4 linked regions of the Mus musculus genome follow. The protein of the gene in region 3 purifies or fractionates together with the protein of the main gene of each other region. This does not show direct contact. Links are inferred from orthologs where the notes say so. Each region holds a gene or a part of one and is shown on either strand. Other genes may lie near its edges. The genes, in order: Pdcd10, Stk4, Slmap and Stk3.

Region 1 (7,798 bases), on a different chromosome or scaffold from region 3:
AAAATTTGATAAATCTAAATAAATTGGTTGTTGTTTAAATTGATTGTCTGTTTAAGTAAGGGAATAAATATCACTTTAGTTCTGACTTCCCTTAAATTTTTTCTCCAAATAATAGCATAAATGTATTAGTTCTGTTTTTATAACCTATAACTGTTTAAAATTTAATGTATTAATGACTTCAGTGACTCACAAGTGCAAAAAATGTCATGTTCGCATTTTGAATATAGGTCTATAGAAATTAGTGGTTGAAAAAGGAAGGCTGTACTCTGTATTACATGCATTTAACACAAAATATTAAGTATCTTTTCTCTAATGTCTAGGGTATGTTTCTCAATCATTTTTATAAATATCTATTTCCCTGTTTCCAGTTCACTCCCAAACCATTTGATCTGGAACCTGTGAGTGGTTTCTCTGTTGTGTCAAGGACAGCCTCCAAACCTCCTGCTAGAAATGCATTCAAGTCAATTTACTTTCACTCCATAGACTTAGAATCAGAATTTTAAATTTAAAGAGAGGTCCAAAAGACAGTGCCATTTGAAATTAACCAAGTCTTTTGGCTAAAAGGGAGTCATCCCCTGAGCAGTTTCCACTGGATAGACCAGCAGGATAAATAATCTGCTTTATTTCATATATCATACTTTATATAAATTGAATGACCTTTCCCAACACTAACCAAGAAAAAAAAAACAGGTTATTTGAAATTGATATAAATGTTAATTAAACTAGATAAAGAGTTCAAGGTGAAATAACTGTCCAAGTATGATATACTCACAATTTGCTCTCATATAGAAACACAAGTCTTATTCCCAAAACAACACAAGAACTTAGTCCACTGACATTCCTAAATGGATCTGATCTCACAAACAGGGGAATATTAGGCATTTTAAAATTGAAATCTCATTCATTCTTAATGAGTCTGTAGTCTTAGGATATCTCAGAGCCTACTATTTATGTAGTTAGATGAGATTTTAAAAACATCTTCATTTCAGCTGTTTTCATGTAAATTGTTTTCTATCCATTTATTTTCTTTGTTATTTACTGATTTCCATCAAATTCTTTCAAAAGGTCATTCTTACAAAGGCTCTAAAAGAACTTCATTGCCAGTCACATAATTAACTATTATCTTTTTTTTGTGTGTGTGGAGGGAATAACCAGAGACAACAGGTATTCAGTTTCCAAGTGAATCAGCAAAGAGCCTGAACATCTAAGACGGACTCAGGACCATGCACCTACCATCACACATAACAAGGGCAAGGACAACCTTTTCCAAGTTTTATTAAACCACCAGATCACATTTTCTCTCCCAAAAGCATTTTCTGGAGATCACATAGCCAGATGGCTATGCCAATTAATAGGTTTCTAGTAGTATACCAAAGATAACATCCATCCTTACTGTCACTGCTAAGTTTAGTGGCTTCTATAGCTTTTTTCGAATACTTACATGATCTGCTTAATCTAAGCCTAGATATTTCTTGGTTTTGCTTATTTATTTATTTTTTAAGATTTCTCTGTGTGCCCAGGTCTTTGGTGTATTAGAATGTGGGAGAAAAGGATTTAATTAATTTAGTAGTGGGCATCTCTCATCAGTATCTGCACTTAGTAGGACTGAACCTTAAGTAATGGAGAGAATACCTTTGAGCCACTTTAGTTTTAGAAGGCATCTTGTGTGCACTGCAAAAACAAAATTCAAAATCTTGCAGTAAACCAGAATAGTATGACAAAAGAAGAAAATAGAAGGTGATTTCTGGATCTTATTGACCCCTCTTTAAACAATCTCAAGTATTCTGGCACCCTATGGAATAGTCAACTGTCACAAGAAAGCCATTTCAGAGCAGAGTATGCTGCAATATGCTACATGACTAACAGGCATATAATCTGGGACACTATTTCACAACAAAAAAATGAACTAAGCACGTAGAATTTTAGTACTTTTCCAACCCAAAAGGCTGTAATCTGTCATAGGTGCAAAGGTAGGATTGACTACCTAACATAACAAGTATTACAACATAATTCCACCCGTATGTATTACTAGCATTCAAAAGAGTATACACACAATGAGAATGAACTATTATTGTGTGATACTATATACCTCTAAAATGAGAGCCCATTATAAAATACTAAAGGTTATCATTTTACACATACTCTCTTCAATAGAGGAAAGCTCCTCCACACAGTTCCCTTGTACTCCTGTTTTTAAAACACGAACAAACGTTACCGGACACAAATGAGAGAATAAGAAGCAGCGAGGAAGTACACCATATGTTCCCGTTGTAGGCTAAACCCAGGTCTTTGTTTCAATATTCCAGCGCCAGCAGGAAGGAAAAGCCAAATACCCACCCATTTCAATTTATTTTCTCATTAATGCTGGTAAAAGTTATACTTAGGATAGGTTTAGCCGGAACCCATCCTATCTTATTATTTGCTTCTTTAACCCATATCTTTTGCAATCCAAAGACCCTGCAATACAACCGGTTATCTTGGATAGACTGTCCGTGGCAGGACAATCTGATAAACTAACACAAGCGTCAGGCACTGAAGAGGACAAAGTTATTTTCTTAGTGAAACAGTTACAAAGTGGTTCTCTATCAATGCCAATTTTGCCTTTTTAACAGCTACGCATCTAGCTTGACACCATCCACCTGGTACTCAATTAGCAGGGCTTTCTTCAATCTTGTGATCTCCCAGACCAGTTTTAATGGTGCAACTCAAAACAAAATCCTTAACCACGCCCTTAATATCCCAGGCAGAGTTACCTTTTGTTTTTTGTTTTTTTTCTCTCTCTCTACCAAAGTCTGTAATTGTACGTAATTGTACTGAAAAGGTTTGCACCGCGATCCTAAGTCAACATAGCACTCTTTCCTCCAGTATCCAGGCGTTCCTATTGTCAGATGCCTTCCTCCCCAGGTTGCTGTGCTGTAGCCCGCAAGTGGCGCCCACGCTTACCTCCTTCACACCTGCAATCCCCGCTCGGGATGCTGGAGAGGATGCTGGGCAGGCTGAGACTGCTCCGGATGCTGCTCTTGCCTCTCTCCAGGGAAACTACAGACTAGGCTGAGCTGAAGCTTCTTCTGAGATTCAAGCTCCGCCTTCCCCGCCTCTAATTGGCCGAAGCTCGGGCTGCGGCTCCTCCCACTGCCATCTGCGCAGCCTAGGCGCAGAGCGGTACCCGAGGTCTCTTAGTTCCTGGTGCTCTGACCCCTTCATTTCGGACTTTCTCCCCTCTGGCATCGCACCTGGCCCTTCCTCAGGTCCTGCTTAGCTCTTTTAGCCGGCTGGTCCAGTGAACACGGGAGTGGGCTGTCCTTTGGGGGTATGGGGGTACTGTTGCTTCGGAGTAGGCGGAGCCCACCGGTCTAGCCCCTAGAGCCTTCCTCCCCGCCTACCCATGGACTCAGCCCAGCCTCCTGTCGCTTGCTACCTCTGGCCCCCCGCCCTTTTCTTTACACCCATCCGAGGGCACCTCCCATCGGTGGGCGTGGCGTTGTGGGCTATCTTCTCATTCTGATTGGTGCAGGTGAGACTCGGCCCCGCCCTCCCTCGTTTCTGGGCGCGCTCTCTCTTCATCTCCTCCCCTCCCTCAAAGACAGGGAACTCTCTTCTGATTTGCTAGAAGTGTCCCCACCTATTGCCTAAGGCGTTCTCGCACAGCCTTCTGGGAAATGTAGTCTTACTATTGCAGGAAGTGCTAACGGAAATGGAGGGCGGAACTACAAATCCCCATCGGGCCTTGCGCGACTCCTGCTGGGCAGGATTCCGGACAACGCCTGGTTCCTTTCGGGTCCTTCCGGCGTCGCCGGAGTGAATTGATCCGGGAGTTGAAGAGGGCTCCAAAGGTGGGAAGTGAAGTCCGTGCCTCAGTTGCCGGTAAGGCGAGGTTTCTCGGTTCGGGTCCGCACGGCTCCGTGGGCAGCCAGAGCGGCCTGGGGTCAGGCGGGGACCGAGGCGGAGGTGCTGAGGCTAGGCTCTGGCCGGCGGGGCGGACGGGTGGGGAGCCGGGCCTTGTGGGCGTCAGCGAGGTCTCTACGCGAGCTGCGGAAAGCTGGGTTTGTAAATGCCTCCTGCCCAGCCCGGCCCGGCGCCTCCAGGAAGTCCGCTGTGGGTTTGGGTGGAGGGGAAGGGTGAGGTCGGCCTCCCGGGTCTCCACTGACCGAGGGGGCGGATGTGGTGGGGTGAGGTCCCGGGCAGGTGAGGCTAAAGCTTGGCTAGGCCTGGAGGGAGCGTGGGTGCCCGGGAGTCGCCTCCCGGTGTGGCTGGGGTTATGCCCTTTGAGGGAAGAAGAGAGACAGTGTTGACAGTTCCGACTCAGTTCCAATTTCCTCTCTGAGGAGGTGATTCTTAACTCGGAAGGTTTGTGCCTCTTGACTCCAATACGTCAGATGGATGTATACTTCTCAAGTGCCCTCGAAGCGCTTTCACTTTGGGATGCTAATGAGACTACTGTAGAAGCAAATGACGTGCCCAAGGTCACACAGATCTTCAGAGTCTAGTCCTCCGAAAGTCCAGTTTCTGACCAGAGTTGTCGGCTTAGGAAGAAAGAGTGGGGAGGTGGGTGGTAGTACTGGAAGCAGATAGAAGAAGTTGCAAAGTAGTGTGCCTGTTTGTCAGAAACGGTTGTGAGGTGCAGAGAGTTGGTTTGTTGACGTGGAGTGGAAGCTTTGCCAAAGCATCCTCTCTAATGTTCTGTAAAACAGGAAGGATCGCTTTAGCTTAGATCTTTACCCCTTTTTCTGGGGTCTACTGAATGATAACACTCACTTTCCACACGCCATTTTTAAAGGATAGATAATATTTAGGAATAGCTCAGTGTTGCCATTAAGAGAATAGTCCTTTTCATTTCTATTTTCTTACCATTTTCAAAAACTATGGGTGAAACTTTCACAGAACTTACTTTACAGATATTCATGCTTTCATTAAGTGAAAATTAAGTGCAGAATCTTGGAGAAATTGTACCATGTTCATTACAAGAAGTGACCCTTTGGGGGGGGGGGTCAGGTTTTTACTTTTCTCTCATTTTCTTCACTCCATGTGTAGACAGTAAAACATACACTTGTATATTTTCTTTTCTTGGCATCATCAGTGAGTTTTAATTCATTCTTATTTAATGTTAATGAATGATAAAAATGATGCTTCTATATTGAATGGAAAGAACTGCAGGCTTACTATGTAAATTAAAATATAAATACATAGTATGTACTGTAAGTATATATGCTATATATTGAATGTGCTTTGCTTGCCATGATTAATATTAATTTTTTTTTAATGCAAAGCTGTTTCTGGGATCAGAAGAACCAGTCAAAATGGTCTTGTTTGAAGGGGACTTTTAAAGAAAATGGAGAGTTGTGGTACCATAAAATGAAGCAAAATCAGGAATAATGTAACACCACACGTCACAGTAAGGGAAAAGTCACTAACAAAAGGGAAATTATCTGGGATTAATTGGTTTTGAAGTGGAGTTTGAAGTGCATTAATTTGAGTGGGCCATATGTAAGTCAGTGCTGGTAAAGCAAGAATGCTAATATATTTTCTAGATGACAGTGTGGACATTTGTTGTTTGCTGGGAAAGGTATGAAATAAGTTTTAAGTGGCACACAGCTGTGTTGGTTATGGAAGGACTTTTTTAACAACAAAAAAAGTTTTGTCTTTGATTTAGTCCTACTCCAACTCTGTCTGTATCTCTGAGGCCCATCATACTGTCCTGTTTCATCGTCACTACAGTGTAAGTGCTGAGATGAACAGTGAGATGAACAGAGAAGATGATTTTGAACATCCTTCAGGCTCTAGCTAGAGCTCACAGATCGGATGTTTGCCTGTAGTGTGCAGCTCTCTTTGCCCACATTTGTTCCCTTAAAGAGCTTTGCATCAACTCTCAGACACTATCCATTGCAGGACTTTGGAGGTTTTCCTTAAAGAGCCATCTCTCTCTTAAAGAGTAGTCTGTAAGAACAGGGTCTATATATTATTTATCTTTTTAGTCTTGGTAGAATAATTGAGTGGCTAAGGGGAATGGAAAAGGAATGGCTAGGTGACTTTCCCAAGGTCATATGACCTGGAAAAGATCAGCTTATAATTAATCCATGTATTTTCACTATAGGTTTTAATATTGTGTTCAAACTTCGATTATTTTATGTAAGAAAAAGACTGACCATTACAGATGTCACTATCTCCTTATTCTGTTTAATGCTACTAATTTGTCCTCAATTTCCTGAATGTCTCCAAACTTATTCTCAGCTGTCACCTTTTTTTCTCATATAAGTTTCTTCCTGATTTGGGGACAATTTTACAAATTCCAACTTTCCACCTGTCTAGTATAAGGGAGTTTTATTTTCTTTTACAGCAAAACTTCTGTGTAACTTAGCATTTTAGAAAACCTTGCTACTGCCTTTTTAAAAAGCAAATAAGATTCATTATAACAAAATATAGATATGGAAGAAGGTTTTTATGGACTCTATTCTTCCCTTAGATTTTAACTTCAAAACAATTATTTCACTTACCTTGTAGCTAAGGACACCAAAACTAGAAGTAAATTTACTCCTTGGGACTCAGAAGAATACAATGCATTGCTAAAGTCTTGGAAGGACTAGAGCCAAGATTTGAGTATAAACCTCTCCTATGTTTGTTTGTTTTAGTTGGTTGGTTGTGGTTATACCCAGGATTTAATACAACCTTGAGAGAAGATGATTTTGGGAAACTAACTTTCTAATTTCAGAGGAACTTATATTTTGCACTTCTTGTAAGTTATATTTGAAGCAGGGCAGTGGTAGGGTATGCCTTCAATTCTGGCACTTCAGAGGCATAAGCAAGTATATCTCTGAGTTCGAGACCAGCCTGGTGTATATAGAGTGAGTTCCAGGACAGCCAGGGCTACACAGAGAAACACTGTCTTGAAAAACGTTATAATTGAGGGATTTAAGGTAATATTTTACTTTTTTGAACATATGACACTTCTAAGATTAAAAATGTTTTTAAGTTTGCAAACAAAATTTTAAGGATATAAAAGGCTAGATTTTCTCTAGAAGACAAAATTCTGTAATTTTTCTCAGTAGCATACTAATATAATAAACCAGAGTAGATTCCCACTCTTCCCCATATAATTGACACTTACATACTATTGACACTTTTCACAGTAGGAGCTTATTATTTCTATACTGATTTAACAATGTTTTAACATCTCACTAAACATTATCGGAGCAAGGCCTTCTCACTTCTTCTATCTTAGCTCTGAGCTATGTATGTAGCCTTTACTCATCTGTTTTCTTACCAGTACACTTCCCAGTAGAGGATTGTGTTTGCTTTCAGTTTTGATGATGTGGTAAGGTTTATTATTAACCATGGTTTTTGCTAAATTCTAAGCTTACTTGGTACTTTTTGGATGATAGTCTGAATATTATTTGAATCTTCAATAACAACTTAATATTTACCTTACATAATGCAGTTTGCAGGAGATTAAGCAATTATTTATGTGTTGATAGAGTATTAGGGTTATTACAATAGGTGGTATTACTAAGAATTTTAAGCTAGTATATAAATTTTCTTCTGAAATATATAGAAGATGGTATAATTTTATACTTCATTGCATTTAAAATACTGTGTGTTTCAGACTTAGGGCAGTAGAATATTTATACACATTCATAAAAATAAAATTTAAAGTACTTCTATTAAGGCAATTAGAATTAATTTATTTGCTGCAATTGAAATGAATTTCATAATTAAATTTTATATAAACATAGGCATTTTATTTAAGCTACAAAACACACCTTGGCTGGCATCACAATATTAGCCTTATTTTTCAAGGCCACCT
Region 2 (7,326 bases), on a different chromosome or scaffold from region 3:
GAATTTCCCTCTGAAGATCCTTTCTCGTGCTATCATCTCGTTGAACTTTTAACTGGCACCATTAAACACTTGGATTTTTGTCATCCTGGTGTAATGAACCTGAGCAGGTCTCACAGAGCCAGCATGATCCTGAGGGAGGATCTTACCTGCGCTTCTCCGCTAACGCAGATGGTCCTGCAGGGAAGGCCTGCGGTTTCCACTGACTTGTGGCTTGTTCTCAAAGTGAGCGTGTGCTGAAGAACCACATTGAGTTCTGGAGCTGTGGTCATGCTCTTTTGAAGAAATCCTGTGTCTCTGGGGCAGGGCAGAGTCACAGCTTGAGCTGAGCTGAGCTGAGCTGAGCTGAGCTGAGTGGCTGGAGGCTTTAGAACGGAGCCGCGTCTCCTTGCGATTCTGTCAAGTTTTACACTGTGGCTCCTTTAAGATTTTCCTTTTTCTTTCTTCAGTCTTAGAGCCACATGTATGTTAGGCATGTGCTCTGTCACTGAGCTACATAGGAATATAGCCTTTGTTACGTTTTTATTATCAGATAGTAACAAATTGTTCCCATAGTCTCATGGCTAATGAGTGTTAAAGCATGGAATACTTCGGAGAGCTTATCTGTGAGGAATGAGAGCAGACTTCCAGAAGCAGAAGGCGTGGGAAAACCGCAGTACAAGTGTGCTGAGGGAAAGAGTTCTGTACCCAGCAAAACTCACTCCAGCCTGAGCCGACATGAAGAGATCCTTGCACAGATGCTCAGTTTAGTATTTCAAAGAGGCCTGTGGATGTCAGTAACAGCACCTGCTAACAGTGGCTAACTACGGAGGCACGCACTGACAGGCTAATATATCTTCCCCAAGTGGACAGTTGACTTGACAACGGTTGGTCTGGGCAGTTCCTACGGTCACAAGGTGGTTATGTTAGTTTCAAGTGTCACTCCCTTTGACAGGATCCAAGCAGGGCGGAAAGTGACAAGTGAAAATGGACAGCCTTGTTTGCTTGTCTTACCCAGGAAAAAAGTCTCGAGAATTCTAGCCATACGCTGGCCAGATCTAGTTAGATTCATGCTGCTGGTTCATTCACCAGGAAGAGAAATGGCACAGCCTATCTAGATTTGTCCTAATTGAGGGTTATTTTAGCAAGGAGGAGAGGGCACTGGTTGGGTCTTCCCTGCTTGCTCAACAGTTGTTTTCTGTGATAAAACAGTGTTTGAAGCTCCTTGGAGCGACTTTATTCCTCTTCAAGTGTAAGGAATTCAGATAGATTCTTTCATGTGCTCTGCATTCATAGATATTTCTTTTCTTTTCTTTTCTTTTTTTTTTTTGGTTTTTCGAGACAGGGTTTCTCTGTGTAGCCCTGGCTGTCCTGGAACTCACTCTGTAGACCAGGCTGGCCTTGATCTTACAGAGATCTGCCAGCCTCAGTCTCCTGCGTGTTGGGATTAAAGGTGCCTGCCACCACCGCCCAGCATGTTTGGGAAATTTAAAAGATGATTTTTTCATATCACTGAATGCTGCCCGGGGTATTAATGAAAAAATGTCCATAAGGTTCTAGCGTGTTTCGAGTGAGCACCGTAGCTGTCTGGTTAGGGGGTTTGCATTTTGTTGTTGTCATCTTGTGAAGAAGACAGTTGAGGCACAAGGAGCCAACTTAGGTTATAATAATGTGTATCAGCAGTGGATTGCAGTCTGCCATCTTCTGATTCTAAACCTCTTGTTCTTGTAGCACTTAGACTGAATGAACATAGAACCTTGCTTTTGATAAGCTTTTTGGGGAAGATGAAACACGAGGCAAAAAGATTTGAATGTGCACTGTTCATCTGATTCTGGCACGAAAGAGACTTAGGTTTTCATGAGATTCCATGTTGTATGCCTTGCCGCACATGAGAGGACTAAAGACAGAGAGACTGGTAATAGAGTGGCCATAGAAAACACACATGTGTATTGTGTTGCTGTGAAGGGAAAACGAGCATCGCATTCAGACTGCATGGTTCAGATCATGGCAGCACTTCCACGAGCGTGGGTAATTCATGCGATTGTGCCACACCTGGCCTTGCCTCTCGGTGTCTTATGAATGATCTCCTTCCCCCAAACGCAGGTCTTATGGCAGCGTGTACAAGGCTATTCATAAAGAGACTGGCCAGATTGTTGCAATCAAGCAAGTGCCCGTGGAATCGGACCTGCAGGAGATAATCAAGGAAATCTCCATCATGCAGCAGTGTGACAGGTAAAGCCTCGGGTCCTCTGACAGACAGAGCTCGGCCAGCCTGGCGCCTACAGACTGGAGGGCGGGGCTGGGAACCGCAGGGCATGTTCTTTCTGAAAAATAGGAGAAAGCATGTATGCTTTTGTAGCTAGTTCAGTTTCCATTTTTGTATATTTCCTTCATCAGTCAGACCTTTTAGAGGTCTCTCTTACTTCCTATTGCACATGTAGCTGAGATAATTCAAATACTTTTTAGCTCCAGAAACCATAGCATAGCAGGTTGGTGTATAAAAAAGAGAATATTTGCTTAGGTACCGTTTCTTTTTTGCCGTTAAGAATGATTCGGGTCAAGAGTCCTTAAGTGTTTTATTTTTGAGGAACTAAGATTTGTCAAGCTCTAAGCAGGAAGTTGGCCCCAAAGTCAACCACAGAAGAGCACGTGATCTGCCCTGAAGTTCCATGACAACTTGCTGGTTGACGGAGCAGGCCTGGGCTCTGCTCTGTTAGATGTACAAGTACAGTGACGGACTGTGCCAGGTCCTGGGGTTTGGGGTGTGGGCGAGGGGCCGGGGGGGGGGGGGGGGGAGCATGGTCAGTCGCTCCGAGGCCAGTCTGGGCAGATGAGTCTGTTACCTCCTGTCCTCGTGTTCCTCAGGCTTCAGCGGTAGACTGGGCAGTGCATCTTGTTACTTTGCAGCGACCTCAGAGCTCCCTGACTTTGAAGTGCAGCTGCTGCTCATCTGCCTCTGCTTTATTTACTTATTTCTCTCTTTGTGGTTACTGTCTGTATGGTGCCTTGTACCGCACAAACTCCTCCACCCCGCCCCACAGCTGGATCGGTGGAATTAAGTTAGCAGGTTTTCTTCTTAGCCACATGATGTACTTACTCGAACTCTCTTTAGTTGGTGAATGGGAACTGTATCTAGACAGAGTATGGAAATGCTTCTAACTAAAGATTTGACTTTTAAAGATTTATATATTTTTACTTTTTATGTGTATGCCTGCATGTATGTATGAGGCCCACGTGTGGGCCTGAAGCCTGTGGAGGCTAGGAGATGGATGGTATCCAATCCTCTGGAATTGAGTTACGGACAGTTGTGAGCTGCCATGTGGGTGCTGGGAGCTGGGTCCTCTGCAAGAGCATCATGTGCTAAGAAATGATGTGTGAAGGTCTCTGTGTCAAACTGAATTAAAAAAAGACAGGGCAGAGTCATTGTGTCCTGGGAGTTTTGTCTGTTTGTTTGTTTCTTTGTTTTATTTATTTAGTTATTTTGTTTTTCGAGACAGGGTTTCTCTGTATAGTCTTGGCTGTCCTGGAACTCACTTTGTAGACCAGGCTGGCCTCAAACTCAGAAATCCGCCTGTCTCTGCCTCCCAAGTGCTGGGATTAAAGGCGTGCGCCACCACCGCCCGGCTCTTTGTTTTATTTTTCTGTCACTGTCTTTTGAGTAAAGGGAGGGTTTAGGGGACCTTTGTCTGGCTTACTAGAAAAAGTGGCCGGAGGAAGAGTGTCAGTAGGTTTCCTCTGTTCTCTGGGAGTTGACAGCCCAGGCATGAGCAGTGCAGGAAATGCTAGCCGGGGCAGTACAAGGCTGCACAGATCTTATCCCAACACTAAAGTCCGTGCCTACAGAGGAGAGGGAGCAGAGCACCCGGATTGGGAACCGCAGGCTCACTTACCTGTGCTTTCACGAAATCTCATTTTATGTGCCCTGTCTTCTTTGCCACTGGCACATGTCCCAAGGATGAAGGGGCGTTTGCAATCAAAAGTCAAGGAAGCCAGGATAGTTTTAGCTTCTTTTGTTGCTCTGCAACCCAGCTTTCAACAGTAGTCCAGCTGTTAATGGCACAGGTGTGGAGACAGCGTTCATTTTCCTGAGATGCTTGGCTTCTCACATATTTCTTACTTGGTGTCTCTCAGCAAATTTAAGACCAGGGGTCCAGATTTGATGCTAAGTAGTCTTCTTTCTTTATACTATACAGTGATGATCTTGTTACTCCCAATTATATCATGGCTTTGGAAAAAAAGAGAAAGAAGAAAGATTACTTTACGTCACTGTTACGGATCCCTTGGTGTATCTGTCCCTGTCTCACTGGGCGTTTGACTGTGTTTGCTTTGCTGGTTTATAGCTTAGCTTCCCCTTTCTTACGCTGTTTGTTGTTTTGTTTTTTTTTTTAATTTAAATTTCATGTCTGTGTATCACTTGCATGCCTGGTGCTAGAAGACAAAAGAGGACATTAGGTCCCTGGAACTAGCATTACAGACAGTTATGAGCCACCATGTGGGGTTGGGAACCAAACCCATGTCCTCTAGAAGATCAGCAAGTGCCCTTAACAGCTGATCCATGTCTCTACTCCCAGGATATATTACACTATGTATTAACCATTCCTCTAACATGTTCTGTGGACTTGTATTTAGTATGTGGTAGGCTGTTATTTATTTCTTAGGTTCCCTCATGTTGGCTGCTCACCTCATGTCTCCTTTATCAGGTCTGTGTTCATAGCTAATTTTTTGAGAATCTGTGATTCTTTTCTAAAGAAAAGTTATACACTTAGAAATACTGTTCCCTTGGTTTGAATCTGCATATTACTCTTAGGGAAAGCTATCGCTTGTCTTCTCCTCGAGAGATTGCTTTTGTTAGTCCTAACTAGAAATAATTCGTTTTTATGAAATGAGAAGTTACTTTCCATGCATTGAACAGAATGAATTAAAATGTTTGACGAACATTCCACTGAATTGTATTGTGTCTCTTTCCAGCCCTCACGTAGTCAAGTATTATGGCAGCTACTTTAAGAACACAGACCTGTGGATTGTTATGGAGTACTGTGGGGCTGGTTCTGTATCTGATATCATTCGGCTACGGAACAAGACGGTAAGCTTACCTCCTAGGACGGGGCTGAGGGAGAGCGGTTTCTCCCGCTTCTTCTGGCCTTTTGTGCGTGTGTAGAAACACACGGAGAAATGACTGTCATTTTCCCTTTTCCTTGGGTCTCTGCTCTCTTATACTCACCTCCCCCAACCTCAAACGAGGAGAATCTCAGTGTGGTCTCTTACCTTTGATCCCTCTGGCTCAGCCCGAGTGCTAGGTCCCGGGGTCAGCCACCTTGCTCGATTCCCTTCTAACCACGGCAGCTCGATACTGACTTGTTCCAGTGGGTTTTGCTTATTTCTTATTAGGCGAAACAGCTGTCAAACCATGGTTTAGGGATGAGTTTTCATTCTTTTATAAGGATTTCATGGGGAAGAGTAAGTAACCAGGAGCTGACAGTGTAGCCCAGGCTGGCCGTGGACTCACACTCCTCCTGTGTCATTCTCCCTACCATGCCTGGCTGCTCTAGAGTGACTTTTAAAAATACTTGATCTTTTAAAGGTTATATGATGGCAATTTCTGAATCTAATGATAGCTTAATACTAGCTTATTAGTCTACATGACTTATTTTGCTGTGTGTTACATAAAAACCATTTAGTGTGACCACTGCCAGCCACAGATGACTAGAAGTATTGTTTCAATTTGAAGAAATATGACCACAGAAAGACATAAAAAGTTGGCCGGGCAGTGGTGGCGCATGCCTTTAATCCCAGCACTTGGGAGGCAGAGGCAGGTGGGTTTCTGAGTTTGAAGTCAGCCTGGTCTATAGAGTGAGTTCCAGGACAACCAGGTCTACACAGAGAAACTCTGTCTCGAAAAACAAACAAACAAACAGACATAAAAGTTTAATATTTCTCATGATAGAACCAATCTTCAAAAAAAGAGAAAAAAGATAACAGTAGACTGATGGTACTGTTGTGCTAAGTGACATTGCCCAGGCTGAAACCACAGACACTGCTTGCTCTCTTGGCCTGGGTGTGTTCTGATGTGGATCTCAGCCTCTCATGTTTTATAAGCGTTGTCTATGTGGGGGTGGGGAGGGTAGATGCCAGGAAACTAGAATGGGGCCCACATGAGGCAGTGAAATTTTGACTTTAAGCAGAAAATTGCCTTACAATTAAATCTAAGTAGATGGTAGCTATATTTAACCCTGAAGTCATGATGGGTTGGGGATCTGACCACCTGTGAGACATCTGAAGTTCCCGTTCTGTTCCTTTGGGAGTCACTGTTGAGGTTCGCTTGCAGAACATTTCCCCTGCTGATCGTTAATGCTGAGATAACGTGCTGGTCTTTCCACTGCTTCCTCCAAGTTTCATATTTGTCCTTGTTTTGATGATTTCTCTCCTTACTAGTCCTCATTCAGCAATTTCAAGTCTTAGAATAAAAGTGAAAGAAAGTAGTGCCCCAAGTGCAGGCTGCTCCCTCTGATCCTGGGTCCCTGTGTGCACAGCTTACTCCCCACAGGCTGCTCCCTCTGATCCTGGGTCCCTGTGTGCACAGCTCACTCCCAAATGTGACTTGGTTGTCACACGGGAACTGTGTGAGGGTTTGATGGGATCTGTTTAGGACTTGAGTCTGCTCAGAGATCTGTGCCAGCCTCTAGCCTCTAGCACTGAGATTCTAGAGCAATTTCATTTACCACGGCTACAAGAGTAAACAATAAAAGCCAGGATTTTTTTTTTTTTTTTTAAAGATCTATTTTATTTACATGAGTACACTGTAGCTGTCTTCGGACATACCAGAAGAGGGCATCAGATCCCATTACAGATGGTTGTGAGCCACCATTTGTTTGCTGGGAATTGAACCCAGGACCTCTGGAAGAACAGCCCATGCTCTTAACTGCTGAGCCATCTCTCCAGCCCAAAAGCCAGTTTTTAATGGAGCATGTATCTGTAACAAGGAAGACTGCATTGTATGTTAGATTATAACAGAGAATGACCTAGGCATGGAGAAGGAAAGGATTCTGCTGTTTTGATAAGTGACATTTGGGCGAACTGAGGAAGGCCTGCAGTACAGATAGATGTAGGGAGGGAGAGCCTCAGGTAGATAGACCAGGCAGGTGAGAAGAGCCAGGGGACCAGAGCTCAGGGCTCGGAGTTCACAGGGAACAGGGAACGGGAAGGACAGAGCAAGGTTGAAGCAGCTGTGTGTCACGGAGTTTGGATGTAGCTTTTCTCTTTTCTCCTATTTGATGTTAACAGGCTTGAGACATCTTACTGTTTTTTGTTTTTCAGTTAACAGAAGATGAAATAGCTACAATATTACAATCA
Region 3 (7,762 bases):
GTACTGCTTTCCCAAGACGCCACAGCACACAGCAGTTCAAAGGGCGCTGATGTTGGCTCATGCTTCCCCACGAACACCCTTGTACGAAATCCTGAGCTTTAACACGTGCCAAGCACCGGGTACTATGTGATTTGCATAAATAGTCTGAATCCCAAGACAGCAAAGGGGGCAGTGAGCATGGCTCAGTGGCAGAACTAGTGTTTAGTGCAGACGAGCCCAAAATTTCTTTTTATCCCAAAAATAAAAACTTTAAGAAGGCAATACTATCCACAGATAAGAAAACTCCGGCTGGGCAGAGGTGGCACAGGCCTTTAATCTCAGCACTTGGGAGGCAGAGGCAGGTGGATTTCTGAGTTCAAGGTCAGCCTAGGCTACAGTACAAAGTGAGTTCCAGGACAGCCAGGGCTACACAGAGAAACCCTGTCTTGAAAAAAAGAAAAGAAAGAAAAGAAAAGAAAACTCAGGCTTAGTAGTGTTTTAAAACAATCTTTCCTGAGATGATACCTATGAGTGGATTCTTGCATTTTTATGCATCATAAATTTCAAGGAATATATATTAGGTCTGGTGGGGGGCGGCTGTCATGAGCCTGACACAGGAGAGCTCTTAAAACTTCACACACAAAGCAATAAATAGTATTTGGACAAACTGATTTGGTTTTCTTTGTTATCTCCCAGGATCTGGCCCAGAATACATGCTCAATAAAAAAACCTGTCTGTCTAAGCCAATACTTTAAAATTAATTCCTAAAATAATTTGATCACAAAGGGAAAACCTAACAGATTGAAACTGTTTAAACTAAATTAGGTGGTATAATAATAATTACACAAAATATACCGTCAAGCCCTTAGTGCTATTTTAGCCAATGACACAAAAGGAAAAAAAGTAAAAGAGGGAGAAATAAACTAAGTCTACCGTGAGAACTCTGCAGATCCTCTCTTCATCCTGAGTTTCTGAGACAGAGCTTCGTTATATACCTGAGCTGGTGATCTTAAGCTCATTAAGCAAACTGGGCTAGCCTCGAACATGATGCCTTCTTCCTGCCTTCTGAGAGACAGGCTTACAGGGGAGAGCCACTGCACCAGGCACGAGTTTTCAACTAAGAACTGCAGTGGGCAAAGCACGTGCTGTAAGCAAATCTGTCATCTGATTCGGCTGGACCTGTTTCCCAAGCACACAAAAATGTAAAAATGTAAAAGTTGACTGTATTTAGTCACTAGCAGCCAACTAATACTGGAATTCAATAACGAACTCCAGAGTCATTTACAAAGAATCACAGGTCATCCACGAATCATCCAAATGTTAGCTTTCAGGGAAGAGAAAAGTGTCTCTCTTATGGGTTAAAGAGCCTCTGGTGTAACTCAGAAAAAGTTAACACACTTTTCAGTTTTCATCCTACACACAGAATAGGTTATAACCACTATGCAAGCACACAGCACTTGGGGATCTTTCCTTCCTTTTTTTTTTTTTTAGATAGCATTTACTTAGTAATTCCTTAATTCAGTAGCTGCCCTAGCATTACTTTCTTCCTCTAAAGGCTCAAGTTTCTTTCATTTCAAAACACCACTCTTGAAGACAAATTCTTCTCTTAAAAAAAAAAAAAAAAAAAAAGACTTACTCATGTCACTCAGAAAGAGGGGGCGAAAAGTCAAGAGACAAAACTGGAGACAGTCCTATTAGTCTTATGTAACTTAGTTTGAGTTGGAATTATTTCAGTAGTTCAACGAAAGCCTTAGGTTTAGGCCCAAAGAAGAGTTCTTTAAAATATTCTCCATTCGTGCAAATTCTTGAAAAACTAAAAAGATCCTTTTTATTTTAAAATAAGTAACTAGCAAAGTACAGTGCCAAGATAAACAAGGTAAATTGGATTAAAAATTAAAAGCAAGGCCCAGCATGGTGAGCTTTAATTCCAGCACTTGGGAGGCAGAGGCAGGGAAATCTCTGAGTTTGAGGCCAGCCTGATCTACAGAGTGAGTTCCAGGCCAGTTGGTCCCTGTCTTTAAAATATATGTGTGTGTGTGTGTGTGTGTGTGTGTGTGTGTGTGTGTATTAGACAATATTGGATATAATCTAAAAATAAGCTAACTTATTAATACTAATTTTTGCATATCATCATATAATTACACATTATCTACCAAAGAAATTGAGAAGTGACTTTCAAGAGCAATAGATTTCTGTTGATCCAACTTGCAAACAGAACTCCAAAGATGTAGTTACTTACTCTAGCTTAATTAAATTGCCTTTAATATTTACAAATTATTTCATCGGGGCAAGTAAGTATCAATCGTTACAAACAGTAACTTTGCACTCCAGTTATCCTACCAGACAAGGTCCTGAGTTGAATTCAACTACAAGCCATGTGTTAACTACATTTCACCATAGACACTTGAGCCTCGATGTAACAGAGGCCACAAATTCCGGCATTGCTCTGGGAACCACTGCTTGCTTAATCAAGCACCGACCTGCAGATTCACCCTTCTAAAAGGACTGAAAGTCAGAGGTCAAGTTTCACTATCTACCTTTCCTAAACGAATTAGGGTTTGGGATTTCACTGGGAATGACCAAGTTTATCAAGAAGCCATCGCCCTGCCGAGACATTTAGTAACAATACCTTCTCTGTTTTTCATTCAACCACTTCGATTCCATTTCCACTAGAATTCAGACACACACAAAAAGCTGATTCCGAGGCCTCGCAGAAAAGTGTCCTCTGGGAAGAAACCCTGAGATCGTTGCATACATTACACCTCTCAGAGAAGGTGAAGGGAAAGGAAAGGAAAGGAAAGGAAAGGAAAGGAAAGGAAAGGAAAGGAAAGACTGTCAAACACTATAGCGACATTACCTTGCTCGTCTTGTGATCAAACCAGACGAGGGCATGGTTCCTTGACAGCACTTTGCAATCAAAGGTGGCATTATTCTGCGCTGGTCGACAGCGTGCCACCGAGCGGCCGATCTTGATGGGCTCGTCCAGGTAGACATGACGCTCCTGAAACGGGTGCGAGTTCGGGCGGCAAGTGAAGATGGCCAAGGCTGACGGCATCGAGGACAGGCTGGGGGGTGTCTGGACCAGGGACAATGAGGAGCTCCTCCAGGTTCGGAATGCTCTTCTCAAGCCTACACCCCCTAACCCCCCAAAATTTTTAAATTAAAACAAACTGCGCATTGTCTAAGCATAACCAGTGAACATCAACAACTCTTCAATTGGGCAGGAGGACAAGCCAGCGCAAGCCCCATCACCTCCTTTAAAATACAGAGGCACCTTGACCAAAAAAAGTCCCCAACTAGCAGCTTTCAGTCCATCTTCCCTAGGAAGAAAAGGCTCAAACATTGGGCAGCTTCGGCCAAGAAAACTCCTGGAAGACAGTTTGGGGACAGGAGGTATCCGAGCAGATGAGTCACACACCAGTTCTTGTGTTTTGTTTGAGATCCCGGCCGCTTGTCCCCTTCGGTAGCGGAAACGGTGCAGCACTGCAGCATGAAGAGGGTTGACTCGCGCAGCCAGGAAGGTCCTTCGGGGCTCAAGGAAGAGGCGCGGAGGACCTCCGGGCAGCCACCGCGGGGCCTCGGGGCTGAGAAGAGGTGCGGGGACGGACGAGGAGGACTAGAGGGCCAGCGGGCCGGGCTGCATTGCCCTGCTGCGCCGAGGCCGCCCGGGAGTGGCAGGGGTCCCCGGCCCAGCGTGAGCCGAGGCTGCGATCCCGGGCTGGAGGCGTGGGAGGGCTGCCGGGGCACGGGCGGCGTCTGGGTCGCGAGTCCCGGGCACCTGACGGGTGTCCCCGCGACCAGGGCGGGGACCCGGCTCTGCAGGCCGGTGCGGACAGAGCGAGGAGCTACCCCGGGGAGGCTCGGGCGACCGGGCGGGCGAGCGGGCCGACGGGCGGGCCGGCGGGAAGTTGGTTTCTCGGAGCTCTCGGGCTCTGCTGCTCAGCACATGGGCCACCTCCCCTCAGGAGCGTCCTCGCGAGGGTCGCATCGCAGGGACTGGCGGCTCCCGCAGGACGACGGGGTGGGGGAGGGAGGCTGGCCCGGAGGTGGAGGGAGAGGCCTGGAGGCCGGGGCTGGGTCCGCCGCAGCCTCCTCCACTCGCAGCCAGTGCGGCAAGCTCAGGCGGTGGCGGACGAGGCAGGAAACTTTCCGACCTAGGCGGGGAGACACCAAAACAAACGGCAGTCAGGGACCGGCGCCCGCTCGCCTCAGCCCTCGCCCCCTTCAGCCAGCCCCCGCCAGTCCCCGGCCGCTGCCTCCGACCTCGGGCGACCTCTCCTTGCTCAGGCTACGGGATTCCGGAGCCAGGACGGAACGTCGGCTCCTTCCTCCCTTGCCGCCACCGCCGCCACCACCTCCGCCGCCGCCTCAGCTTACCTTGCCAGCGTTGGCCGCCATAGTGACTCTGACTGAAACCTACCGGGTGCACCGCCACGGGAACGCGCACCCTTTTCAAGGGCCCTCCTCCGCCGGCTCCCGTGCCGTAGATAGGGGGTATCATGTGATTGACGCCGTGGAAGCCATGTTTGTCACTGGCAGGGAAGAAGGCAAGCTTATTTTTAACATGACCCCTGGCGCCATCTTTGTTAAGGGCCAGAAGCTTCAAAGCTCCAGACAACCTTAAGGGCCATTTTGGTTAAGGGCAAGAGAAACTTTGAGGGGTTGAATGTTTCAAAAGCACACACAGCGGCAACATATGAATAAGAAAGTACCTACAAGTACCTACGTGTACTAAGTGTGTTTACTACAGTTCTCACTGAAAATACTAACACGTGCGGAGAATAATTCCATGCAAAGGACATACTCATTAGCAGTCATCGTAGCTGTGGGCAACTGAGTCACTCACCACTGCTCTACAGATGACCAAATTCCACAAGTCCCTAGACTTAATGACACCTGAAGGACTTTCCTCCCTCTGCTAATTCACCGGGCTTTATGAATTCCATCCCAAATTCCTGTCCTTTTCACTGATGCGACTATGTTTCTCAGAACTCCTTCGTGGGTTCTAACGTGGAGAACAGAAAGTTGTGGGGGGTTTTTTGGAGTGGGGGAGGATTTTGTTGGGGTAATGGTAGGGTTAGTGACAGGGTTTCTCTGGCTGTCCAGGAGCCCTTTAAGTAGATCAAGCTGGCCTACAACTCAGAAATCTACCTGCCACTGCCTCCAGCGTGTTGGGATTAAAGGTGTGCGCCACCACACCCTACTTGAGACCAGAAAGTTTTAAAACACGTTTCCAAAGAGGGGTCAAGGTCGAAAGTTACTAATAGGAAAATACAGAGAATAACCCAACCAACAATCCTGAAGTCTGTGTTAAGCCTGGGAATTGCGAGGAGAAAGACCAGTATGTATGGAGTCATTGTTCCAAAGAAGAAAAAACCGTGGCTCGAGCTGAAAGAAAACCTTAGGAAAGACTGTAGAGAATCTTAATCTCTTCAAATCAGTGTTGACTTCATTCTTGAGATTCCTGTGACCACAGACTTCCCTGAGAAACGTTGGACATGGCTTTAAACTTCTTTAGGATACTTTTTCTCTTCTATAACATAATGACAAGACACAACCCCCTTGCAGAGAGGCTTTGTGGTGTCAAACCACATTAACAGTATTCATTTCATTGCTTCTGTAATGCTATGCTGTGTCTAAGTGACACAGATGAGCACAGCCTTAGTCTCTGCCCTCTGGTTATAGAACCAGTGTAGTGGGTTTGAAACTGAAGGAACAAAATAAGGCAAAGACTCTGATATATTCAGAGCTCTTCTAAAGGGAGGGAGGCAGGGACATCCTCCAAGGAGAAGTCACAAAAACTGAATGAAGAAAGGTTGAAGGACTATAATAAATACAGTATTTGTTGAATGGTTTTTCTAAATTGCCAGGAAGAGGGACATTAAGTAGTGAAATGAAGCTTTTAAAGGAATACACTCATGTGCCTGGCACAAAGGCTAAGTAAATATTCAATGCCTGAATGAAAATACCATGCTTGTTATTAGAGGATAAAGTAGGGGCAGCACAAAGTGAATTTGGACACAATAAGTAATGTATTATAAAGTCACACTAGGGGGGCTGGTGAGATAGCTCAGCAGTTAAGAGCACCAACTACTCTCCCGAAGGTCCTGAATTCAAATTCCAGCAACCCTCCATAACAAAATCTGACACCCTCTTCTGGAGTGTCTGCAGACAGCTACAGTGTACTTACAGATAATAAATAAATAGATCTTTAAAAAATAAAAAATGAAGTCACGCTAGAGTATGTGTGCATGCGTGGGCTCATGCTTGAAGCTTAAATTCATGGTAATATGAATGTCCAAGACCTGACCTTTCACACGTTTTTACAGTTCTTCATCATTTCAACAAATACATTGAATAACTACAGTATCCCAGGCATTTTGACCTAGAGAATAAAGATATACTGAAGAGTTTTATTATTAGAAGATGAAAATGTTTTGCTTCTGATAACTTTTAGCCTTAAAACAATAAAACAGACCAGGTGTGGTAGAGCATGCCTGTCTCTAATGAGGTGTGTGCACGAATTTTAAAGTTATTTATGCATTTTTTTGTTCATTCAACAAACATTTAATTGACTACCCACTAGGAGAGAGAAACTGTAAAATGACCTGGAATTTCAAAAGTGAAGAAGAGAGTGGAAAAAATGAATCCCTAAAGTTTCTTACAGTTTAGATGGAGACACAATAAGATCCTTGCAGTATTTGGAATAACTCAAAAGTATTGAGAGTACAGAAGAACAATGTAAACTGGAGCAGCATGGTGACCTGGCATTTGCATGGCCTTAGGTGCACCCTAGTAGCACAAATAGAAAATTAAAACCACCGGGCAGTGGTGGCACACGCCTCTCTCTAATCCCAGCATTTGGGAGGCAGAGGCAGGCAGATTTCTGAGTTCAAGGCCAGCCTGGTCTACAGAGTGAGTTCCAGGACAGCCAGGGCTATACAGAGAAACCCTATCTCAAAAAAAACTAAAAGAGGAGAGAGAGAGAGAGAGAGAGAGAGAGAGAGAGAGAGATAAAACCAAAATGTTGTAATAAGTCAGTTAATCTGGTACTAATGAGATTGTAGGGATAATCTCTTGTGCACTTTGTGCACTATGTAAAAGCATCACCTGTCAATGAAGAGCTGAATGGCCTATATAGCAGGAGAGAAAAGAATAGGAAGGCAGGATACCTGGCAAAGAGAGAGGAACTCTGGGAAAGACTCAGGCTCAGGAAGATGTGCCACCAATATGTAGGAGGAAGTCAGACATATGAAACTGAGGAGAGGTAACCAACTATGTGGCAGAACTTAGATCAGAATACACATGTAAATATAAGTTAAGAGGTATTTGGGAAGCAAGCCTAAGCTAATGCCATAAGCATTGAAAATAAAAACAAGCCCTGTGTCATGATTCAGGAATTGGGGCAGACATAGAAAAGCCAAAACAATATCCTGAGCAAAGGGCTAGATGAAGTGGAAACTTAAAGATTCTTTGGAAAGGCAATTAAATGGTGTTTTGCTGGAGCAAACACATTGAAGAAACATTTAGCTGAAGTGGACACAGGTGAAAGGCTAAGGCAGACTCAGGAAGGAATGTTTCACTGAAGCAGACATGGGAGAGTGGATGTTCTGCTAAAGCAAGCACGTGATGAACGATTCTTTGCTAACAACACACATGTATTGGTCCGCCTTCCATTGTATAGTTGAGCTCCATTTGTCTCAACTCCATAGAGGGAAACACACCAAAAAAACCTTCTGGTGGTGTGTTGCAGTTTGTTGCTGCTACCGGGGACTCAGGTTAA
Region 4 (7,786 bases), on a different chromosome or scaffold from region 3:
GTTATTTCTCTAAGGTCCCAAGAACAGGCACCTAGAGAGCTCCGCTGTTTATCAGAGGGAGGCCTAGATTCTGGTGTTGCAGAGGCAGGGAGGCTGGCATCTGGATCCCTCAGGTGCTTTTATTAAGGGGGGTTTATGGGCAGTGCCATTCTAACTCTGGGCTGGGTTTTCTCAGAGAGGCCAGAGAGGGGAAGGGAGCCCTGGGCTTGCTGCAGGGGGACGCAGCACAGAAACCAGCTGCTTGTCACAGAAAGGAGGGGTTTCTGTGGGAAAATATGCAGAGGCAAACCATCTGTACACAACACTGGAGCCTCTTTGGTGAGGCTTCTAAGAAGCAGGGCAATTAACCACAGAGAGTTAACATCAGAAATTCGGGGGCTACAACAGTGAATAGCTGTGCTTGTTGAAAGCGATCCTGTGTGAAGGCAACCAATCTTGTCTCCAAAAGTTAAAAGCAACAAGATTAAAGTTGTCTGCTGGAATGTCCCAGGTATTTAATTCAGCTGCTAATTGGCAAAGGTCAAACACTAAGTCTGGCTACCAGGTGTATGGGGTGCCTTTGAGAATTGATAGAAAGCACTCGCTTTCCAGTAACAGAGGAGACTACACTCTAGGTTAACTCAGCTGGCTGATAGGGATTGATTTCTAGACCAGTCCATGATTGAGTCAGAATAACTGGTCACATTAAAGGAAAGAGAAGAGTCATTGTAACTTCTCTTTTTGATTAATTGTAGATGTAGGCTCTCAAGAGTTGCTAAGAAACCCCTTCTCCATTGCTTTTTTCTGATGGGTGAAATTATAGGGTGTCTTCAGAGGTATCTTGGATGAGTTTACAATCTGATAAAACCAGGAGCTATTAGAATCTATGTGAGCCATTCTCATTCAAAGCACCACAAACCCCTAGTCCCAGAGGGACAAGGGCAAGGGAGGCAAGTTGTTAGCTTGTCTTGAAAGGAACACTTTAGGTGACCTCAGTAGATGATCATCAGAAGAATAAACAAATATTCGAGTTCCTTTCTTCCTGACTTTCTCCTGCATTTATCCCCAAAGCACAAGTGGCCTGGGAAGCGCGGTACTCGTTGGCATTCACTACAGGAAGCTGGTACAGTAGGATAGGATTGCAAACCTGGATAGCAAAACCCCAGCCCAGAGCTGGATGTGTCAGGCTGTTGCTTAGGTGACAAGCAGAGAGAGAGGATGCTATGGGTTGGCTCTCAGATGACTCACATTTAGGTTGGATGACTGCCTGAGAAGAAAATGTTCAGCACAGAGCACCAATCATAAGCATATGCCGCCAACACCACTGACTGCTGTGCTTGGCTGGACTGGGATGACTTCCTGGAGGATAAAGTTGCTAAGACAAGGAACCCATTGTAAAGGATGATAAACTGAGCCCATCTTAATGTTTGATAAATTGAAAAAAAATCATGAGATGAACTTCTCAAGATGCTTTCTGCTGAAACAGGAAAAAAATGAGGTTGATGTGGAAGTTAGGAGAATGCGAGGTGGGCAGGAGAGTTTCAGTGGTGATTCCCAGTACTGACATTTTAAAAGCTGGTACTGGGGTTCAATGGTTAAGAGCACTGACTTCTGTTCCAGAGGATGTGAGTTCAATTCCCAGCAACCACATGCGGCTCACAACCATTTGTAGTGGGATCTGATGCCGTCTTCTGGTATGTCTGAGGAAAATTACAGCATACTCATATATATAAAGGCTGGCATTACTGTGTGTGTGCATGATGAGGGTGTGGAAGTGTGTGCATGTGTGAGAGAGATGTGGCAAGGGTGTGTGTGTGTGTAAGCCAAGGACAACTTTGTAAAGTCTGTTCTCTCTTTACACTTGTAGACTCATCAGGATTGTGTGGCAAGTGCCTTTGCTTACAGAACCCCCTCATGGCCCAGTATTGACATTTTAATCACTTAGTTTTTGTTATTGTTCCTATTGTCCTGAGTAGATGAAATAGATATCAAGGTGTGTGTCTTATTTAGTTTCAGTTGATACTCATTTTGACTAATATTGACTTCATACACATGGCTCCAACCTCTAAGAAAACTTTGCCCAATTCGTTTTAAAGAATATTCTAGAAAAAAAAATAAGCAAACTCATTTGTATAGTTGTGAGAAGATGTGTGTGTGTATTTTATGGTTAAATAGTAGACAAATGAATGTGTAAGGGGTCAAGTTCAATGGGGGTTAGGGCTGTCGGGGTCGGGGACCCAAGAAAAAAAGAAAGATATTCCTTTAGTATCTTTTTCCAAGCACTATAACTAGTCATGGGCTTTCCATGTTACCCAACAGGGCATCCAGCAAGACTCTGGTGTTCTAAATTTGTGCACCAAGAGATCACTGCAGTAAATATTTTCTGTCATTGGACTGTAATTATTATGCTTGTATACAATCAAAATCAACCAGAATTTCCAGAAGTATCCCAACTACTATAGTTACAAATGCCAATTGGCTTGGGGGGCAGGGGAACGTAGCTAATAATAACTAATAATTATAAACAGGACAAGAGAGGGAAGTGAGGGCAGTTTTACTTCAAACAGATTTACAAGATGATTGGCATGTATTCTTGGGGAATCCTGAGAAATGAGTCAAATCTCTAGTGGACTAGCACCCCTCCACCAGCACAGTAGCTTTTGGGTTGCCAAAGTCTCACTCTGGTAGCAAGACATCTTCTTTCTGAGCTGGGCACTCCTTTTGGTGGCCTTTCTCCACTACTCTCACCAGCGCTTGGACCCGCCCACCCTTCCCGGGCTGCGCTCCGCCCACCCTCCCTAGCCCTGCTAAGGCCCGCCCGCCTTCCAGGGCGCATCCTGTTCACTATCCCTGGCTGAGCTAGGGCCCGCCCACTCTTCTGGACCGCGCTAGGTTCCGCCCACTTTCCCGGGACACGCTCCGCCCACCCTCCCTGTCCGCGCTCCGTCCCGCCCACCCTCGCTGCGCCGGCCTCTTCCCACCAGCTCGGAGCTGCAGGCCACGGCCGAGGGGCGGGGCGGGGCGGCCGGGAGGAACCGCGTTGAGGAGCGGGAGGGAGATCCGCCGCGGAGTTACGTGAAAGTTGGTTCGAGTTTCCCGGTGTGATCCCTTGCGTTCGGCCGGCTGCTCCCGGGCTCCTTTCCTCCCTACGGCCTTCACGGTCCATTCGGCCCTTCTTTCTGCCACCGGCCGCCATGGAGCAGCCGCCGGCGTCCAAGAGGTAACGACGGCGGGAGCGGGATGAGGACGGAAGCAGCGGCGCGGGGCGGGGGCTACTAGGCCCGGCCTGCCGCCGCGACCCTGTCCCCGCCTGCTCGGCGCTGAGCGCAGCCTGGTCCAGGCGCCCACCGTTCGGCTCCGTCCCTCTGCGAGGCCAGGGACCCAGAGGGGACGCCGAGTCTCCGTGCCGACGTCTTGAGGGCCTGGTGCGCCGCAAATTGAGTGGCCCTCGCTGGGTTCCCGGCCCTTCTGGTGGCTAGGAGGGTTTGAGTAGTAAATTCCAGAAACCTGGAGATAAGGACATCAATGCACGCTTCTCTTATTCTCTCTCTCTCTCTCTCTCTCTCTCTCTCTCACACTCTCTCTCTCTCTCTCTCTCTCTCTCTCTCTCTCGATCAAGTCTTCTTAATAATATAACCATTCACTTTGTGAAGACAGATCGCTTATTTACAGTTTAAGGAATTAAGTATATTAATAGCCACGCAGAATGTAAAACATTATGGATGTGCAGCAATGACAGGTGTTTCCCCCCTCCCCCCAAAGTTCTAAAGAATTTATGGATCCAAGATAGATGGAATGTTAACTTAGAACCTCTCCCCCATATAGTTTTGCACATAAAAACAGTGATACTTTGGTATGCTATATATTGTTTATGTTTAATCATGGACATATTGGATGCATCTGTGTACAATATGTTTGAACTAATCATTTCAATCATCTTAGGAAACTAAATGTCCATTGATAAACGTTCATAATGTCTTCTCCCTGTTCTCCATGAATGAATAAAATAATTGTTTGACGCTGGGTAAAACATTTAACCTCACTTTCATTTATAATTTACAAAACTGTCTAAGAGAGTGCTATAGTGAAGATTAAAGTCTTCATGTGCTCTAATATCTAGAGATATTTAGATGTAAGGTGTTAGACTCATGAGGTGGAATCGTTAAAAAGGTAGGCACTTTGAGAACCGTTGTGAATTGTGTGATTAGACATGTGAGCCTTGGTTTCTGGAAACCATCTGTTCAGATGCAAAAAAGGGGAGGATGTGGACAGTTTCCCAGAAGGGACAGGCTATCCTTCTGGGCCCTGGAAGCAAGTCAGTTGTTAGATTCTAGCATGTTATTGGTGTCTTTCCTCTGGTAGTCCCTGGATACTCGCCTTCCCCACAATAACAGAAGAAAACCTGAAACTTTTTTTTCTTTCTGTTTTGGAAGGGCAGTAAAGGGGAGATCTTTGAGACTATGGCATAGGCCAGCTGGAATGACTGAATTGAAATAAAAGATCTGTGCTGGTTGGCTGTACTGTAAATTATCAGTTTCATTATAGCTGTAAGAAAATGCCTGCACTTGACATTAGTGAACCTGGACAATCAGAAGTTGTGGGTGACAATTCCATCGTGACTTATACTTTACAAAGCCATGCTTGCACATAAAACTTTACATTTTAAATTTCCATTTCTTCAAAGACTCATTTTAATCTAGAAATGCAATTCTTTTAGTTCTTTTGTTTTTCCCCTCATATGTTGTGCAGTGTGGCTTGAGTGCCTGGGTTTAAGAGCTCCTTCTGCCTTTGACTCAGGAATAGTTGGGACTAGGATATAGTTCCTGTGCAGGAAGGGATTGTTTTTAAAATTCCATTTTGTTGATTTGGTATCCCTGCCCTCCACCTCATGTGTGTGTGTTTCTGTAAACCCAGGCCATGACGTGTGTGTAAGTCAGCACAGCTTACAGGAGTTGTTTCTCTCCTTTCACTGAGTTCTGGGGCTTAAACTCAGGTGATCTGGCTTGGTGGCCGGTGTCTTTATCTAGTGCGTTATCTTGGTGTCCCAACAAGAAGACATTTGCAATAAGCAAAAGATACAGACTGCTAATCTTTTATATCTTAGTATCTCAGTGTTTTATTTTATAGCATTTCCAAATTAATAGTGTTTATCCTCACAACAACTCTATGCAGTAGGTTGCATTAGAAAAAGATTATAAAATCTCATTTTATAGATGAAGAGACTAGGAATTCACCAAATTGAAGCTTGTGTGTTACTGACAGTGAGTTTCTGTGTAGCCTCTTTGACCTTTGTTGTCTATCATGAAGCATAACTACCATTTTTGAAATCTTATTGTTTGCTAGGAAGTTTACTCATTGTGACTTAATGTTGGGCTTTTGTTCTCAGAGCCTCATTAGGTATTTTGTTCTGCTGTTTAGAAGGCTCATGAACCCTCATCTGCATGGTCTATCTGAAACATTTTTATGTGATAAGATTGCTACATACCCTGCTTTGGGTATTCACTTTTGGAAATAATAATCCTGGCCCTACCACTTCCTATGCTAGTTCTAAATGTAAATGTCTTCACCTGTAAACTGTATCATGGGAATGAAATGGGCTCATGTGAAGTGCTTCACAGCATGTTCAGTTCAGCGTGGTAGCTTGTATTTTATTTATAAGTGAACTCAGAGCACCAGATGTGATGGGCTGCAAAAGTGGTATATTCCTTTATTATGTAGAGTGGTGCCGTTTATAATTCTATCACATAGTGGTCATTGTTTCTACACCTTCTGGATCCCTCTGCTCACCATTTCTAATCTCAGTAGGAATGCCGGGAGTATCACTGTCTTAGTATTTCAGAAGCATTTCCATGGCAGAGCTGGGCTGTTCTCGTCTGAGCCAGTATGATTAGTTGCTGCTCTTAGTTGACGGTTTGATTTTTTTTTTTTTTTTCATGTGGGGCTAGTCCTTCCTCCTTTTATTTAGTTTCCCATTAGGTCCCAGAAAATTTTCTATTAACAAGTTTGTGGGTTCACTTTTTGTTTCCCCTTCTCATTTTTAAGATGACTACTATATTTCAGAGGGACTAACACACTTGAGTTGCAGCAGTGCCTCCCAGCTGGGCACTTCCGTGTTGCACTTTTCAAAAACTGTTTGACAGTGGAAGGGCTGTGCTTTGAAGTAGTGGCAGGGTATGGGGCCTGGCTTCTAGACGCTTGTCCCTTTGCTGTCTTGCAGAACCAGGACTCCATAGAACACAGTTGGCTTTACTTTTCCTGCATGTAGTTTCCAGTTTATTTTGCTAAAATATCATTCCAGGTTTGGCTTTTCCCCTCTGTTAGATATCCAGTCTGTGGTCTCCTCCCAGCTCATTCTGTTACTATCTGACAAGATGAAGCCTTTATTTGGGCTGTAGGGCAGGGGCTTGCCTAGTTTTGCTTTGATCTGTGCCGTTCCTTTAAAAAAGTTTGTGTCAGCTTACTATGCTGGTGCATGCCTGTAATCCTAGTCCATAGGCTGAGAAGGGAAGATCACTATAGATTTGAGGGCAGCCTTGGCTACATGCAGTATAGTCCAGGCTAGCTTGGATTATAGAGAAAGATACTGTCTCAAAGGGGAGGGAGGTTGGGGGGGGGCAGGAGGGAAGAAAAAAAGAAAAGAAAAGAAAGAAAGAAAGAAAGGTTTGTTATTGCTATCAGCATTATCATTTTTTCCTGTAGTCTGTTTTATTCTTCCTTTAAAGCCTGCTTCAAAAGTTTCTTCTCTGAATACTTCTGTCCAACCTGAGATACTCCTCAGGACTCCTAATATGATATTCATTTGATTGTGTGCTATATTCTTTTTGCATTACAAAATTTTAGGGATCTAAAACATAATGAGAACTAATTTAATAAGTACTTATGTATCAGCATTCAGCTTAAGAAATGCAATATTCTAAATACATATGAAACCCTCGGTATGCATCTCTTCTCAATTGCATCCCTTCCCACCCCCAAGATGGCCCAGCATTCTGCAGCATTTTGTATAATTTTTGCTGAAGCAAGGATGGTTATCATTGTCAGAGAGACATGATTTACCAAATGGGTCTTGCTTTCAACTATATTTAAAATTGGCAAATTTTAAATAAAAATTATGTAAAATTTGAAATTAATTAATTAGCGTGTAGTAGAAAAAGTTGATGTGGAACAGTGAAGACAGTGGAAAGGCGTGTGAGTAAGCTGTTGACACATCCTTTCACGATAGGCAACTTCAAGCTGTAAACTGAAGAAATGCTATGAGTGGATGATGGGAAGGAAGGAAAGTGAAGATGGAAGTAAAAGAATTAGCGGTTCAGAGAATATTTGCATAATTGAAAATGAAAATAATCATAAGTCAGATATTTCTATTCATGGCTGAAGATGGAGTTGTCTTTGGTGAACTTTCAGACTCATAAACAGCTTAGCAGAGCTAACTTAGGGGGAAGACTTAGGGCAGGTTCCAGTTTAATCCTATTTTAGTTTATTTAGCTCAATTTTTGTGGCTCTGGGGAGTTGAGCCCACACTTCTGTTGATCTGTGTTAGACCAGTGAATAAAATCACCTTTTCCTTATGGAGAGGATTGTGACAGTGGCCTATGGAACACTTCCAGGTGAGTAGACTTCAGCAGCACATTGAGACTGTAGGCAAACTGAGTCTCTAGTGACTTTGGGCAATGATTAATTTATTCTTTGTTCTTTAGAAATGAGGCATAGGATTTACAAGTACTGAAGTAAAAGAAAAAATATGACTATGAACCAGATTATGCTGCAATTAGCTTTATTGAAGTAAAGTGTATGTTTGTATTTGTGT

The links.
Region 1: the proteins of Slmap (region 3) and Pdcd10 purify together in Homo sapiens (affinity purification with mass spectrometry; 3 studies listed by BioGRID and IntAct, counting the BioPlex papers as one, with this or other methods). This does not show direct contact. The link is inferred for Mus musculus from reciprocal best matches to the Homo sapiens genes SLMAP and PDCD10.
Region 2: the proteins of Slmap (region 3) and Stk4 purify together in Homo sapiens (co-immunoprecipitation; 3 studies listed by BioGRID and IntAct, with this or other methods). This does not show direct contact. The link is inferred for Mus musculus from reciprocal best matches to the Homo sapiens genes SLMAP and STK4.
Region 4: the proteins of Slmap (region 3) and Stk3 purify together in Homo sapiens (affinity purification with western blotting; 3 studies listed by BioGRID and IntAct, with this or other methods). This does not show direct contact. The link is inferred for Mus musculus from reciprocal best matches to the Homo sapiens genes SLMAP and STK3.

What each region holds. Positions count from the first base shown.
Region 1 is NC_000069.6:75,552,788-75,560,585, reverse strand, and holds the start of Pdcd10 (programmed cell death protein 10), read left to right. Parts: upstream 1-3,733; 5' UTR 3,734-3,864; intron 3,865-7,798. UniProt on the Homo sapiens protein: Promotes cell proliferation. Modulates apoptotic pathways. Increases mitogen-activated protein kinase activity and STK26 activity. Important for cell migration, and for normal structure and assembly of the Golgi complex.
Region 2 is NC_000068.7:164,081,551-164,088,876, forward strand, and holds part of Stk4 (serine/threonine-protein kinase 4 precursor), read left to right. Parts: exon of another isoform or gene 1-2,079; coding exon 2,080-2,208; intron 2,209-4,944; coding exon 4,945-5,059; intron 5,060-7,290; coding exon 7,291-7,326. UniProt on the Homo sapiens protein: Stress-activated, pro-apoptotic kinase which, following caspase-cleavage, enters the nucleus and induces chromatin condensation followed by internucleosomal DNA fragmentation.
Region 3 is NC_000080.6:26,530,492-26,538,253, forward strand, and holds the start of Slmap (sarcolemmal membrane-associated protein), read right to left. Parts: upstream 4,134-7,762; 5' UTR 3,035-4,133; coding exon 2,837-3,034; intron 1-2,836. UniProt on the Homo sapiens protein: Associates with the striatin-interacting phosphatase and kinase (STRIPAK) core complex, forming the extended (SIKE1:SLMAP)STRIPAK complex.
Region 4 is NC_000081.6:35,150,940-35,158,725, reverse strand, and holds the start of Stk3 (serine/threonine-protein kinase 3), read left to right. Parts: upstream 1-2,919; 5' UTR 2,920-3,173; coding exon 3,174-3,199; intron 3,200-7,786. UniProt on the Homo sapiens protein: Stress-activated, pro-apoptotic kinase which, following caspase-cleavage, enters the nucleus and induces chromatin condensation followed by internucleosomal DNA fragmentation.